Linked DNA regions of Caenorhabditis elegans. The protein of the gene in region 1 purifies or fractionates together with the protein of each later gene. This does not show direct contact. Each region holds a gene or a part of one and is shown on either strand. Other genes may lie near its edges.

Region 1 (5,240 bases):
AATCTATTGGGCAGCCAAGCAAATTGGCAACAGTTTGAGTTTTTCAAACCAAAAAATTGTCTCACATTAGCCCTGCGCAATAGTAATTTTTATTTCGGTCTGTTAACCATTAGAAACATGATATTGGACTTGTCTTTTCTCCCGATTCTTCATGGTTTGACTGAAAATATATGTATTTCAATGATAGTTTTCTGCTATACACTATTTCAACACTCCAATTACAAAACAAAAATGTCACGAGATCTCTCATCATTTAATTTTTCGAAATGAAACGTAATTTTTGATCTTGCAACGATGCTATTAGTGACCGTCATTTCCATTGGCAAGGCTGGGTCATAGCTACTTGAGAACAAGTTCTCTTGAATCGACAATATCAATTACGAGAAAGACCACTTCTTCTCGCTCACAAATTGTTTTTATTTTTTTTATTGTTTGACATTACAGATTAAGAAATGATGAATCTTTCAACAGCTATTATCTCTTGTTTATGCATTGGAGTTCTTAGCTATGAAAATAAGTTTCAATTTACTGGAACTGTGTATTGCAAAAGTAACGCCCCATGGTGTGTAAGAATTCGTGTTATAGAAGTTGATACATTGTGAGTTTTATCAGATTAGCAAATGTTGCATACATTGAGAGAAATTATTTTCCATGGTAAAAATTTAAATTTAGAAAAAAAATTTAAATTTAAATTTAAATGTAAATCTTCTATGTATTACAAACACATTTTAGAGTCGACGACGGAGTTGCCTCAGTTGATTTTTGTTCAAATGAAGTTACTCAAACTTACGATATTGGAGGAGTGCAAGAAAATGATGGACTTCTGGACGTAGGTTTTAAAAATTGAATTGGTAACAAGTCAAATGATTAGAAGCAAGTAAAAATAGTGATTCAATTTTTGGCAAACATGCGTAAACGTTGGAGTTTAAATTTTTATTTATTTAATAGTTCCTTCATATCAATAACATTATTCCACAGTTTATTTTATTTTCCATGATTCTCATATTTTTTGTCAGTGTTAAATCACAGTAAAATACATATATCAGTTAAGCTGTTACGTAGGCAATAATACTAAAATGCTGGAAATTTTTTTTAAACTATAAACAATATTTGATAAGAATTCCAAAAAAAATTTCAGCGTAATTTTGAACTCCAAATGGTTGTATTCCATAACTGCAGTCGCAACACTGAAACTGTCTTCAAAACGGGAATCTGGAGAATTCCGCTTCCGAAGGCTCCAACTGTGTAAGTCAAATAAAGTTTAAATAAGCTTTAATAGAACTTTACTTTCAGCTAAATTCAATAATTTTTTCAGACACGCTCCTATTCGCCAACATTTGAACTTGAATACGAATAATTCACAATAATTTTACGATCTTTCACAATTTTTTTATTTTGCTTCTTTTTCGAAAATAAAATTCAAGAATCAGACTAATGTAAAATCAGCGATTTATACTTTTACAAAGCAATTACATGCACCATATCGAAATCTTGCAAAATACTGCATAAACTACGGGATTAGCGGTGGGGTTTTGCGTCCTCAATAAATAGCGTGTCACCCAGTTGTGTGCGGCATAGTGGCAAAACACCATGCGGCGGGTTGCATGGGGGAGGAGTCTCACCGAAACCACGTCAAACTGCGGTTTATTAACCAAATATTATTAACATTTATTGTTTTTCCGTGGTTTTTTTTTTGCAATATTTATTTGTATTTTTCAAATATTAAAAGGTATATTTTTATTAATAATTTTCAGGCGGATGTGTACATATTTCCACCTAAAATCATGCATGCGGTGACAAAAATCTTTATCATTTTCATATTTGTATTTATTTTATGGACGCTCTACGTAGAAAATGATATAACAAATGTAAGTTTTTATTTAATTCGAAAAATATATAAAAACCAAGCTTTAGAGAACCAGAAATACGGATAATATTGATGATTTACTGGAATCAGCGAATAGATTGGAGCGGTTATTGAAGTTTGAGGCAAAGAAGATTGCTGCGTTGGCGGAAGATGTGCACAAAATAAGGGCAAACAGGAAGGGAAAACATGTGATAATGGAAGAAATGGTAAGGGTTTAAATTTTGAAATTTCAAAACTGAATTCAGAGTTACAATAAATCTATTTTTGCCATGTGAAACTGAATTGATGCTAACAGGGGTTTCAATGATCTTCGAGAGTAACTGCGAACTCCAAATTTATAAAAAAATTTTTAATAAAAAATGTACCATTTCAAAATTTCAGGTTTCTCAAGATTTGAAGCAATGGAAAGACCCCATTCCGGTTTTGGTATGCAGATTCGGAGTTTCTTTTCAAAATAATTGAGTTCTTTCCAGGTTTTCTCCTGTAATCGTGCGATGGCAGTGAGAGACCATGTTGAGAAACTTATCAGGTACCTTTCCATAGTTATTTTTGCAATAATTTTTATTAAGTATGTTTCCAGGTACCGACCAAGTCAGGAGAAGTTCCCAATCATTGTTACCCAAGACTGTGATAATGAAAATGTGAAGAACGAAGTGAAGAAGTTTGGAGACAAAGTGGAGTACATTAAGGTAGATTTCAAAAATCTCTGTCTGCAATCTCAATTTCATATAATTTCAGCATTTGGCCGGCGATAAAGCGAATATCACAATTCCACCCAGTCACCGACAGTACACCGCTTATTACCGCATAGCACGTCATTACAAATTGGCGCTCAATCACGTTTTTGTTGATAAGGGCTACTCATCAGTCATTATTACAGAAGGCAAGGTGATCATTTGATTTCATTTTAGATAAACTAAAATTACAGACGATCTCGACATTTCGCCAGACTTCTTCTCGTACTTCTCAAGTACGCGATATTTGCTGGAAAACGATGAGAAATTGTGGTGCGTCACTGCCTGGAACGACAATGGAAAAGTGAATAATACAATCTTAAATTTAATTGACTGTTGCTGAAAATATGTTTTTTCAGCAAGAGAATATTGACATGACTGCGGCTTCTACGTTGTACAGAAGTGACTTCTTTGCAGGACTTGGCTGGATGATGTCTTCGTGAGTTTCGGAAAATTATTTTTACTCATCAGTCATTATTACAGAAATATCATGTTTTTCTGAGAATAATGAAACTAGGGAGTTATAAGAATTTTTCGAAACTATTTTGTCTGTCGAAATCTGTAACATTTTCGAAAGGCTTAACACTTTTTTCCAGAGAACCGAACTTACAATTTCAAAAATTACGATTTTAATTTCTGCAAAATGTTTATGCTAATTTTGAGCTGTGATTTTTTTATATTTTCAGGAAAACGTGGCATGAACTAGAACCAATTTGGCCTGTAGGATTTTGGGATGACTGGATGCGAGACCCTGCACGGCGTAAAGATCGTCAATGCATCCGACCTGAAATCAGTAGGACAGGGATGATGTCTTATGGAAAAGAAGGCGCCAGCAAGTATGAGATTTCTACAATTAAAAGTCTCATAAATCTGTTTACAGAGGCCAGTTCTTCAGCAAGCATTTGGCAAAGATAAAAGTCAACGATAAGTACATCAACTTTGGGAAGATTGACTTGGATTATTTGTTGCCTGTGAGTGGTTTCCCAGTTTGCATAAAACTGCCCAGTTTTCCTGTTTCAGGCCAATTTCGCGAAGAAAACAAATTTGGAAGTCATGAAGGAAGCCGTTGAGCTGAGCATAGATAATGTGGCTTCTTTTGTATTGAGCTCGGAGAACAAAGGAAAAAGTGTCAGGTAGGAGTAACGCACTTTTAAAATGGGCCTTGAATTGACAAACGAGGATCATGAGTCATAAGAAAACGTTGGTGGAATCTTTTTTTTTTTTGAAGAAGAATCGAATCAACGATGAAAGTAAAACCGAACTAAAATGAAGAGAAACCATTCAATTTTTTTTTTGAAAGTACTAAAAAACATTGCTTTAATCCTTTAACATTGTTAGTTAGTGAACATTATTATCCAAACGGATGAGAAGACCGAATAGCAATGCGTTGTAGTCCAACATCTTGAAAACTTCTGAAAAATGATTTTAAGAATTGTTTGCTGGCTTCGTGTCATTAGTTTTTTTTAACTTTTTGACAGAGATGTTTGCAAATTTTGTGCAACTTATCTCTTATTTTATCAACATACATACTGTATTAAACACATTAATTAACTGTAGTATGTTTCAGAGTGATGTACGATGGCAATATTGACTACATCCGGAAAGCTGACAAACTTCATATAATGCACGATTTCAAAGCTGGTGTCCCACGTACTGCATATGATGGAATAGTCACTTGTTTTATAAACGGAATTCGTATTTACTTGGTACCTGACAGAACAAAAGTGTCAGCATATAATCCAGATTGGTCGGTTCCGCCGTCGTTTGGAGAGTAGTTTTGTGGCTTTGATAATGTTTAAACTTTATATTTCACGGGTTTCATTCTTACCGAATCTAGTCGACTCTGGCCTGCATTCCTATTATTTTGTTCAACTCTTTCCAGTGAATCTGACATTTGCAGCTAGTAATTTGATGTGAAAATTATTACCTTGTTTCGAGATGTGATTGCCCTACGAAATTCATATCTTTTCTCAGCAATTGCACGTTTTATTTGCTACGTTGGTTGTTATTTTAGGGGTATTGTAATTGATTATCAATCTTTTTCTTTCCAATATGTTACATTCCACGGAAAAATAGTTTTTTTTTGCAATGAATAAACGAGTGAGCGTTTTGAAACAAACACTGAAATAATCAATAGAAATTTATTAGAAATTGTTTTATTTCAATGAACAATAGAAAAATACAAGAAAGCGGACAAGTAATGGTGTAACAGCAACATGCTAGACACTCGTCAAGAACACAGAAACCCGAATTTCAAAAAATGGAAGAAAACGTGTGAAAGTGCTTACTAACACAGAGAGCTTGGAGAAGATCACGCAAAAATTATGATTAGAAGTAGTCGAAAAAAATGGTAGAAGTAGGCGGAAACCATGTGGCTGGTGAGTTTTTGGTGAGTGTGGTATCTCTACGCTAAAACATCATACGGTTAGGTGACACGTCATCTTGCGAAACTTTTTGGTTGGCCTGTAAAGTGGGTGAGTGTGTGAAGCGGTGAGCCCGAAGTGATAGCGTTTACCTCCTTTAACATGTGTAAAGTTTCATCAACCTGTGAAATAAACAGAAAATCGATATAAACAACATGAGTAGTCCAAACTAAAGGGGCAAGAAGCAAAGCTAAAAGAAGACTGCAGCCGAGGAGT
Region 2 (4,842 bases), on another chromosome or scaffold:
TCAATCCCCATGATAGTTTTGTAATGAGGATTAAGCAATGTTGTTGAATCTTGAATAATCTGAAAAAAAAATCAACTTTTGACTAATCTAGTACTTTATTCACATTAACTCTCCAGTTCATTCATATATGCTATTTCATACTTCTTAGCCACTTCTCGACGATACTCATTCAATTCCTTCACCTTTATTTCAAACTTTGCAGGAAACTCCCTTTCGCCGCTGGTATCTTGAGCACACGAGAGCCCAAGGAATATCAGAATAAGGACAGATGCTAGCATTTTTTAAATGTGTTGTTTGATTGAAAACGGTTCCATGTTTTATACTTTCGGGTGCGATGGCAAATCACAACAAAGTGACAAACGCTCCTGGAAATAGCGTCATCTTTTCAATATTGTGATATATTTATATTTTGAATTTCAATGTTCTGACGTTTAGTTAAGGCGTGTCTGAAAATCCGAGGGGTTTAAGAAAGAGCCGACAAACTTTTGCGACGCGTACCTAAATTTGATCGAAATAACCATGTCCTGTTTATTTGATTATTTTATTTTATGTGCTGTGCTTTTTTTAATTGAATGAATATTCATGTACACGTTTATCTACAAAAAAAGCGGGAATTTTTCAAACAAAAAATGTGAAGTCAGCACCTAACTTCCAGCGATTCTTGCAGATCTACGTAGATCAATCCGAAATGGGACACTCTGACACACAGTAACGGAGACAGAATTCTGTTGCTCTTTTATGTGTCATCGAATTAAAATCGTATATGCTATATATATATTGCCATTACCTGAACTCACAACATAGTAGCGATTAAATGATCGCTAAACCTCTAACTAAACTCTACAAAGTAAACAAATTTCAAACATGTTTTTATTCAAAATGTAATCGCAAAAAGAACAGTACCTAGAATTATAGGAAATACAAACAGGGAAGATGATGCTTTTGAATCAGAATCTTCAGGGGCACCAGTTAAGCGGGAGGTAGATTGAGTGGTTGTCACTTCTACAGTAGTGCTGGTAGTAGAGAATGCCATAGTAGATGTTGAGGAAGCTTCCTCCTCAGCTGGTTTATCAGTAACTGGAGTTATAGATCCTTCCTCTTCAGATGATGCTTCCCCTCCATATAATGTCTCCTGAACTGGTGTTGTAGAACCTTCCTCTTCAGATAAGTTTATCTCTGGAGTCGAGGTTTCCGGAGCTGGTGTTGTAGAGGCATCATCAGTAGTGGATGATACCACAGAAAAAGCAGAAAAATCTTGAGCACAAGAGAGCCCGAGGACTATTGAAATAAGGACGGAGGCTCTCATGATTTTAATGTATCTTCTTTTGGATATACCCTTTATATATGTGTTTTATTGAATGGGATATTCTCACAATATCCTGACGCTAGTTTTATTTATTTTTTGTTTGTAAAGAGAGTTTGATTGAAATATAAATCTAGGTGGATTTAACAACAAAACTGTGAAAATTTTCAAAAAGGAAAAATAATTGGATATTCTTGTGACGTTAGTGTTTTCTAACATACAAAATGCTTAAAAACTGGCTACCATATACGTTATATTGTCGCTTCGCCTGTTTTACTTTGAAAGGTTATATCTCACTCCGTTACAAATATATCAATAGATAATAGACATATATCAATAGATAATAGATATATAAAAAAAGAAATAGGCAATATTTTGTTAGTTGATAAGATTTTAATAGAACAACTGACAAATGACATTTAAGCTGTCAAAGAAAAAAAGTATACCCAATTCTTTATTTCCGTCACCCCGCGCCCAAAGATGAAAAAAAAGTCAATATAGTTTCCTCCCGTTGGCACAAACGCTTATCAGTGATCATTTGTTGTTCCGCAATGTCGCTGGCAACTAAATTCCCCAAAAACTTCAAGTTAGCAACTGCAACTGCCGCCTATCAAATTGAAGGTGCCAAGGATTTGAATGGTTAGTTGCTTTATGTGATGGAGTTTTAAATTTTTTTTTTTTTGAAAACTTTTTTTTCAGGCCGCGGCTTCAGCACCTGGGATGCCATCCGCCTGGAACCCGGCCGAATCCTTGACAATTCCGACCCGGACCTTTCTTGTGATGGTCTCCTAAAGTACAAGGAGGATGTAGCTCTTCTCGCTGAAATCGGTGTCACCAACTATCGATTTTCCATCTCCTGGTCCCGAATTCTCCCGGACGGAACTTTATCGACTATCAACGAGGAAGGCATCAAATTCTACCGGGATCTGTGCCTATTGCTAAAGGAGAATAATATCGAGCCAGTGGTTACCCTGTTCCATTTCGACATGCCACTTGCGATATACGATAACGGAACTGCTTGGCTTAACAGGGAGAACTGTGAGCATTTTGAGAAGTTCGCAGATCTATGTTTCCAAAAGTTCGGGGATCTCGTGAAAACATGGATCACATACAACGAGATCAACTGTCAAGCATGGGGATCGATTGTGAAGGTTGAAGGGGAGTTCTGGTTGTGCCCCGAGCGTCCGGAGATTGAGAATCACAAACAGGCACCGTATTTGTGAGTTTGTGAAGAAATGGCGACCTGAAAGGTCCGTCGGCGTTCGGGGACCGAGTAGTTGACGGACTGAATCGATTTGCCGGCCTGTAAACGGCCCGTAGTCGGCCATGTCCGTTCTACAAGTGTATAGATTGATAGTTAGGCCAATATACACCACTGGCATAAGTTGAGTTGTTCCAGACTACCTCAAAGTTTTCGGGACGGCAGGTTTCACAGCTGATTCGTGTCGATATACGGAGCGTTCCCCTTCTCCGTAAATTGGCTGAAAGGCTCCGTAAATTGGCTGAAAGACTCCGTAAATTGGCTGAAAGGCTCCGTAAATCGACACAATGCATTTTTTGGGCCGGTAATTGTAGAATAATTAAGGCGAACCCTTCACGGTAGGCAGGCGAGAGCGCCTTACAACTTCACGTGATCAAACCGTAACGGGGGAAACCTGACACCACGTGTGGCATGTGTTTTTAGCATAAAACTCAGTCCAGTCACCTCAGTCCAAACTTAAAAACGAACCTAGCTGCTGTTGACCTTTGTAGATCACAAAGAGATTTATCCGTCTAGATCACACTCTTGCCGGCCTTACGACCACCCTATTTTTTCAGCGGCGCCGCCAACATGCTCCTGACCCACGCGAAGATCTACCGAAACTACGACCAGAACTACAAACCAACACAGCATGGGATCCTTGGAATCACGAATGGAGGAAGGTTCTGCTTCCCGGCAACCGATTCGCAGGAAGACATTGAGGTAGGGAAACTCGCATGTGCCCTAACAACTATATTTTCATTTTTCCAGGCTTGCAATCGAGCTCGCGACTGGCTATTTAACTTCACGATTGAGCCGATTCTCTCTGGTTCGGGAGATTTTCCAGTGCTGATGAGGGAGAGAATGCCGTTTATACCGAAGTTTAGTGAGGAGGAGAAGGAGATTATTAAAGGTTCGAGTCAGGGAAAGCACTTCACCGATTCAAAATTTTTTCCAGGAAGCACTGACTTCATCGGAATCAACTACTACCTCAGCTTCCTGGTTCGCGCGCCGAAAGATGGTGAGAAAGCTTCTTCCCAGTCTCAGCATGACGGTGGTTATGTGTTTGTGGAGGGAAAATGGGATAAGTTAGTAGTAGATCGTTGCATTCAATCAATCCCGCAGTTCCTTCAGAATATGCGGCGAAACCTGGATTCGTTACGCCCCTGATGGGCTCCTAAAAATTTTGAGATATGTCAAGGAAAAGTATGCAAATACTCCGGTGTTTATAACCGAAAATGGATGCATGGATATAGTCGGGCAGGACCAAGAAGATGCTTTTCACGATCAACATCGAATTGATTACATCTCTGGGCATTTGGAAGCGGTGGCGAAAGGTAAGAATTGTCAACTAGCGAAATGTTTATCATAGTCTTTTCTACGGAATCCTAATTAATCATTAATCAATAATACAGTTTTTTCAGCTCTCGATGAAGGCTGCAACGTGATCGGTTACACTGTTTGGACGCTAATGGACAACTTCGAGTGGGATGACGGTTTTGAGCTCAAGTTCGGGCTCTGTGAAGTCGATTTCGAATCTCCTGATAAAACACGGACTATGAAGAAGTCCGCGTACTTTTATAAGGAGTTTATCAAGGAGTTCAAGGATTTTCATGGGATTTGATTTAAATTTAATGTTGTGTATTTTGTATAGTTTTTGAATAATATGTACTACTAATGTTTTATAGTATTTAATGCTACATATTTGATATTAATGAAGTTGTGCAATATTAAATGACATATATAATGAATAATGTTGTATTCAATTAAGTGCTATGTATTAATATTAATGTCGAATAATATTATATGTCATGTAATGTTAACAATGTTGCAGAAAATTAAATGCTATGCACTACTTATAATGATGTGTATTAATTAGTCGTGTCTACTATTAATAATGTTGTATACATTTGAATGTTTTTTACTATTATTAATGTTCTATAGTATCTAATGCTTTGTATTAATGTTAGTGTTGAATATTTTTGAATGCTATGTGCTATTAATAATGTTGTATATTATTAAATGTCATGTACTATTATATTAATAGTGTGTTGCTCAGTGGCTATGCTTTGGGACTAAAATGCCTCTCATTTACAACCACTTCCTACACAGGGGGAGAACAACAGAGCAAGCGGGAGGATACTGGCAGAGGCGGCATTGATCAAACTATAGATAAGACATTTTGTGTGCACTGGACCACACAACAGCTATGTATTGTTTTAATGTATAGTATCTGATGATGTGTATGTACTATTAATATTGTTGTATTGATTTAAAGAACTACATATATTAGTGTCAT
Region 3 (5,023 bases), on another chromosome or scaffold:
TGTATTTTCCAATGATCGGCAGCTACTGGAAGCATCAGGCGATGAAGCTTCTTAAACCTCATGTATCCCCAAACACATCGGACGCTACACGTGTTATGTTTCGGAAAATGATTATTGTAGGCGTAAGCTTTTGTTATATAGCTTAATTTGGTTTCCAGGGCCTGAACTTTCAAATCTTTCTGCCGATGCTTAGTTATATCCCCGTAGTGTTTTTATTTATTCTGATTCAAGTCACTGGTAAGGGAAGCTTATCAAACCAATATAATTTGTATATATCACCTTTAGGCCATCAATTCCTGATCTCTCAGTACACAATAACCTGTCTAGGAGCACTTCCTTGCTTCTTGGATCCAATTTTTCAAATTTACTTCATTACACCGTACAGGAACGCTGTTCGGGCTTTCTTCGTGCGGAAGCCGTCTGCTGATGGTAGTTGGGCTACAAGAGTTTCAGCAGTGAACAGTGTTGCTTGAAAAATTATTAATGGGCTTTTTTTTCAAAAATGAAGCATGTTTTTTATTAAACTTTTTTAATGCACATATGAATAATTTTGGTCGTTTGGAAAATATAGAAACAAGATCCCTTTGTTGTCAGCATTTTTTAATAACAAACCGTGCTCTAATAGTAAGTGATGATTTGAAAGAAATTTCGAAGGTGCCAGTGTTATTAGAATATTTGATGTTATAGTCAATGTCGCCCATATAGTCCGGTTGAAATATTCTTGCAAGTTCAATTGATTGCACATTATGGTGAGTTGAAATAGTGCAGGTCTTGAATGTAGTTTTGTTCATGAGGTCCTGAAAAAAATTTGGGTATACAAGTAAGATGTCTTGACTTGATTTCGGTTTACTTAAATTTACGAAATCTGGTGATCCGTCGACTTTAAATGTATCTAAATCAAGTTAAAACTTAAGATAGCTATATGGTAATTTCATAAAAGTTAGTGCTTGACAAGTCGGTCAAATTTCAAATTTCGGTAATTTTTTAAACCACCGCAACTTTTTTCAGAAGGTTTCGAGAAATTTCATTAGGTTATTCATGCATACATACACACCACTACTTCATACATACATACTATATACATACATACTACATACATACATGTTGCATACATACATGTTACATACATACTATATACTACTACTACTACTGCTACTAATACTACATACTAGATACATACATACTACATACTACATACTACATATATACATGCTACATACTACATAAATACATGCTACATACATACATACTACATACAAATTATATACTACTACACACTATTACTACCAAGGGTGTCATTTTTCGATTTTTAGATTTTTCGATTTTTTCGATTTTTTAATTTTTTTCAGTGAAAATCGAAAAATCGAAAAATCGAAAAATTGAAAATCGAAAAACGAAAATTTTCGATTTTTCGATTTTCAGAAACCGAAAAATCGAAAATTTTTCGATTTTTCGATTCTCTGGAAAATCGAAAAATCGAAAAAGATTTTCGGAAAATTATCCTTAAAATATGATTTTTTAAATCTAATTTTGCTTGAATTTATAATAAAACATACACATTTCTTCTAAAAAGAAGAATAATGGCTAAAATATGAAGCTAATTTCTGAAAAAAAAAAAAAAAATCGAAAAATCGAAAAAACGAAAAACGAAATTTTTCGATTTTTCGATTTTCAAAAAACCGAAAAACGAAAAACCGACACCCTTGATTACTACTACTACTACTACTACTATATACCACATACATGTGAAAATCAGAAAAACTCACATCTCGAATTTTAATCGCATTTGGCATTGAGAGATTGTCAATTTGAATACTGAACTCTTCAAAGTGAAAAAAGTGCTCAATTGGTACTAGATCACAAAACAAAAACCGACAATGCAAAGTTCGTGCTTTTTTCCATTGGTCCAGACAAGTGATTCTTTCAGATAACTCGACTCCGTCGCGGTGCCATAATACAATATCTTTGAGCACTTCAGCTTGACAACTCGAAATGATGTTCAAAATATCATCATGTGGGAAGTTGTATAGTACTACTGACTCTACGGCTATACATTTATTTTCCAACATATCATTTATCGACGATGTGATGGCTTGTTGTTTTACTTTCGAATAGTTCTGAAAAACGAACTTCTTCACGTTTTTCAATACGCTCGCCAAGTCGTTGAACGCTGCTCGCATGAAATTGTCTTCTTCGATTTTTGTTTCTCGTCCTTTGTAAGTCACGTATGCAGTACCAGAAACATCGGTATATTTGATTTGACTTCCGTTTAAGTCCATCGCAACGAAATCATTACAAATGTCAAATGAGATTCTGTTGAGATGGTTTCCTGATTGGTCAACGGCGCTTCTCAGACTTTTGCACACTTTACGGCAGGATAGTCTGGAACATTGCATTTTTACTAAAAAGATTTTAAGACTCCTTTGAGCTGGAAACACTTATTTGGTACCGAAAAGATCAGATATAATCATGAAAAAAACTTAAATTTTTGGCACGGAATTCAAATTTTAATTTCCCAACAATATTTGGCAGAAAATTCAAATTGAACTTTTTAAAATATTTTGGAGCACATTTCAAATTTTTATCATAAAAAAATTAGGAACCAAATTCAATTTTAAAATTTTCCAAAATTTTGAATTTGAATTCAAATTCAATTTTTTAAAATTATTTGGCGGAAAATTCAAATTTTAATTTTTTAAACATTTTGGCGCCAAATTCAAATTTAAATTTCTCAAAAAAAAAAACGTTTTTAATCTTAAAAAAATATATATTCAAATTTTAATTTTTCAAACATTTTTGGCACGAAATTCAATTTTTTAAAGAATAAAAATTTTGGCGCCAAAATCAATATTTAAAAAATTTGGGTACAAAAATAAATTTAAAATTTTTAAAACATTTTAATATTCCAAACAATTTTGGCATAAAATTTAATTTTGTTATTGAACAAATAAATTTTGACGCACCGTTAATATCAACATTTTTAAAAATTTGTGGCGCGAAATTCAAATTAAATGTTTTTTGAACATTTTGGCGGGAAATTCAAATTTTTTAGCATAAAGTTTGACTTTCATTTGGAAAAATTTGTGAAATTATAACTTCAACTTACAGATCCATTGCAGGCAATTTTGACAAAATTTCATCAGAAATTTCCAAAGGCATACTGATAGTGAGCAAAGTTGGCGATAACTTGGACATTTTACTGGAGTTATATGTAAATTCAAACGTAAAAATGAACCAAAAACGTCTATTCACTCTCTCTATTATACAAACTCCAATGACGCATGGTATTTAAACATTTCCTCCGTAAAAAAAGTATGACTCCATCCGTTTTTCCCGAAAAAATATTTAAACTGATAACAGTCACACATTGGTATAATTTCATTTTACTCGAAACTTCCCAATTTCTTCAAATTTTACACTGAAAACTTCAGGTTTTTACTTGAAAAAAGAAACTTTCGAAAATGCCTACTTTACTAGAATTGCCGTTGGAAATTGCCAATCATGTTTTGAAAAGCTGGAGCCCATTGAACGGTAAGTTTTTTTGCATTTTAACAGCAATGCGAATTTTTCATTTTCAAATTTCAAAATATACAGAATAATCTCGAAACTCTTAAAAACTACGAAAAAAACTATGATGTTGAGCAACTTCTGGCCAATCAGAAGGGGCTGCTTTCCTCCGCTGAATGGTTAAGAATTGGGTGCAGCTAAATGCTGATTGGTTGAAAAGTGGGCGGAGCTAAACGTTGATTGGCTGAGAAATAGGCGGAGCTAAACGTTGATTGGCTGAGAAATAGGCGGAGCTAAACGTTGATTGGCTGAGATATAGGCGGATCTAAACGTTGATTGGCTGAGAAATAGGCGGAGATAAACGTTGATTGGCTGAGAAATAGGCGGAGCTAAACGTTGATTGGCTGAGAAATAGGCGGAGCTAAACGTTGATTGGCTGAGATATAGGCGGATCTAAACGTTGATTGGCTGAGAAATAGGCGGAGATAAACGTTAATTGGCTGAGAAATAGGCAGAGCTAATTGCTGATTGGCTGAGAAATAGGCGGAGCTAAACGTCGATTGGCTGAGGAATAGGCGGAGCTAAACGTTGATTCGCTGAAAAATAGGCGGAGTTAAACGTTGATTGGCTGAGATATAGGCGGATTTAAACGTTGATTGGCTGAGAAATAGGCGGAGATAAACGTTAATTGGCTGAGAAATAGGCAGAGCTAATTGCTGATTGGCTGAGAAATAGGCGGAGCTAAACGTCGATTGGCTGAGGAATAGGCGGAGCTAAACGTTGATTCGCTGAAAAATAGGCGGAGTTAAACGTTGATTGGCTGAGATATAGGCGGATTTAAACGTTGATTGGCTGAGAAATAGGCGGAGATAAACGTTAATTGGCTGAGAAATAGGCAGAGCTAATTGCTGATTGGCTGAGACGTCGATTGGCTGAGGAATAGGCGGAGCTAAACGTTGATTCGCTGAAAAATAGGCGGAGCAAAACGTTGATTGGCTGAGACGTCGATTGGCTGAGGAATAGGCGGAGCTAAACGTTGATTCGCTGAAAAATAGGCGGAGTTAAACGTTGATTGGCTGAGAAATAGGCGGAGCTAAACGTTAATTGGCTGAAAAATAGGCGGAGCTAAAATGGTAGGCTTAGACTTAAAACTTTACTTGCAGTGTTAAATCAAAAACTATTTAAATTCCAGACTAACCTGCCGTAAAGTCTGTCGAAGCTTGAGAGCCGCCCTTGACAAGCTTGGAATCCGTTTTGACACCATCAAGCTGGACGTTATGAGCGAAACCCTTTCAATACGGTTTGATAAGATTGAACTGGAATACACTGATTCAGCTGTGATCTACAAAGGACGGAAGACTATTATCCAAGAAAAAGATTTCATGGAGTTGGCATTCAAGGACCTGAAAATAGCAATGAACCATGCATCTTCATTTGTTCTGCAAAACTTTACAAGAAATAAAAACGAGGTTCTCAAATCTCTTGTGAATGTTTTGGAGAACGGAGGAAGCGTTCA

What was found.
Region 2: the proteins of gly-13 (region 1) and klo-2 fractionate together in Caenorhabditis elegans (co-fractionation; one large-scale study listed by BioGRID). This does not show direct contact.
Region 3: the proteins of gly-13 (region 1) and fbxa-12 fractionate together in Caenorhabditis elegans (co-fractionation; one large-scale study listed by BioGRID). This does not show direct contact.

The regions. Positions count from the first base shown.
Region 1 is NC_003284.9:9,293,137-9,298,376, reverse strand, and holds gly-13 (Putative alpha-1,3-mannosyl-glycoprotein 2-beta-N-acetylglucosaminyltransferase), read left to right. Parts: upstream 1-1,754; 5' UTR 1,755-1,784; coding exon 1,785-1,868; intron 1,869-1,914; coding exon 1,915-2,073; intron 2,074-2,248; coding exon 2,249-2,293; intron 2,294-2,340; coding exon 2,341-2,396; intron 2,397-2,447; coding exon 2,448-2,556; intron 2,557-2,605; coding exon 2,606-2,750; intron 2,751-2,795; coding exon 2,796-2,905; intron 2,906-2,960; coding exon 2,961-3,040; intron 3,041-3,287; coding exon 3,288-3,437; intron 3,438-3,481; coding exon 3,482-3,572; intron 3,573-3,621; coding exon 3,622-3,734; intron 3,735-4,168; coding exon 4,169-4,376; 3' UTR 4,377-4,720; downstream 4,721-5,240. Other genes in the region: B0416.7 (uncharacterized protein), read left to right, coding at 456-598, 733-829, 1,139-1,245, 1,316-1,367; B0416.3 (uncharacterized protein), read right to left, coding at 5,011-5,064, 5,117-5,240.
Region 2 is NC_003281.10:2,444,369-2,449,210, forward strand, and holds klo-2 (Glycoside hydrolase family 1 protein), read left to right. Parts: upstream 1-1,840; 5' UTR 1,841-1,854; coding exon 1,855-1,942; intron 1,943-2,002; coding exon 2,003-2,522; intron 2,523-3,121; coding exon 3,122-3,266; intron 3,267-3,314; coding exon 3,315-3,456; intron 3,457-3,501; coding exon 3,502-3,631; intron 3,632-3,677; coding exon 3,678-3,880; intron 3,881-3,967; coding exon 3,968-4,167; 3' UTR 4,168-4,328; downstream 4,329-4,842. Other genes in the region: E02H9.7 (uncharacterized protein), read right to left, coding at 875-1,306.
Region 3 is NC_003281.10:2,217,933-2,222,955, reverse strand, and holds fbxa-12 (F-box domain-containing protein), read right to left. Parts: upstream 3,249-5,023; 5' UTR 3,160-3,248; coding exon 3,107-3,159; intron 2,383-3,106; coding exon 1,767-2,382; intron 798-1,766; coding exon 591-797; 3' UTR 515-590; downstream 1-514. Other genes in the region: srd-65 (Serpentine Receptor, class D (Delta)), read left to right, coding at 1-116, 159-237, 286-473.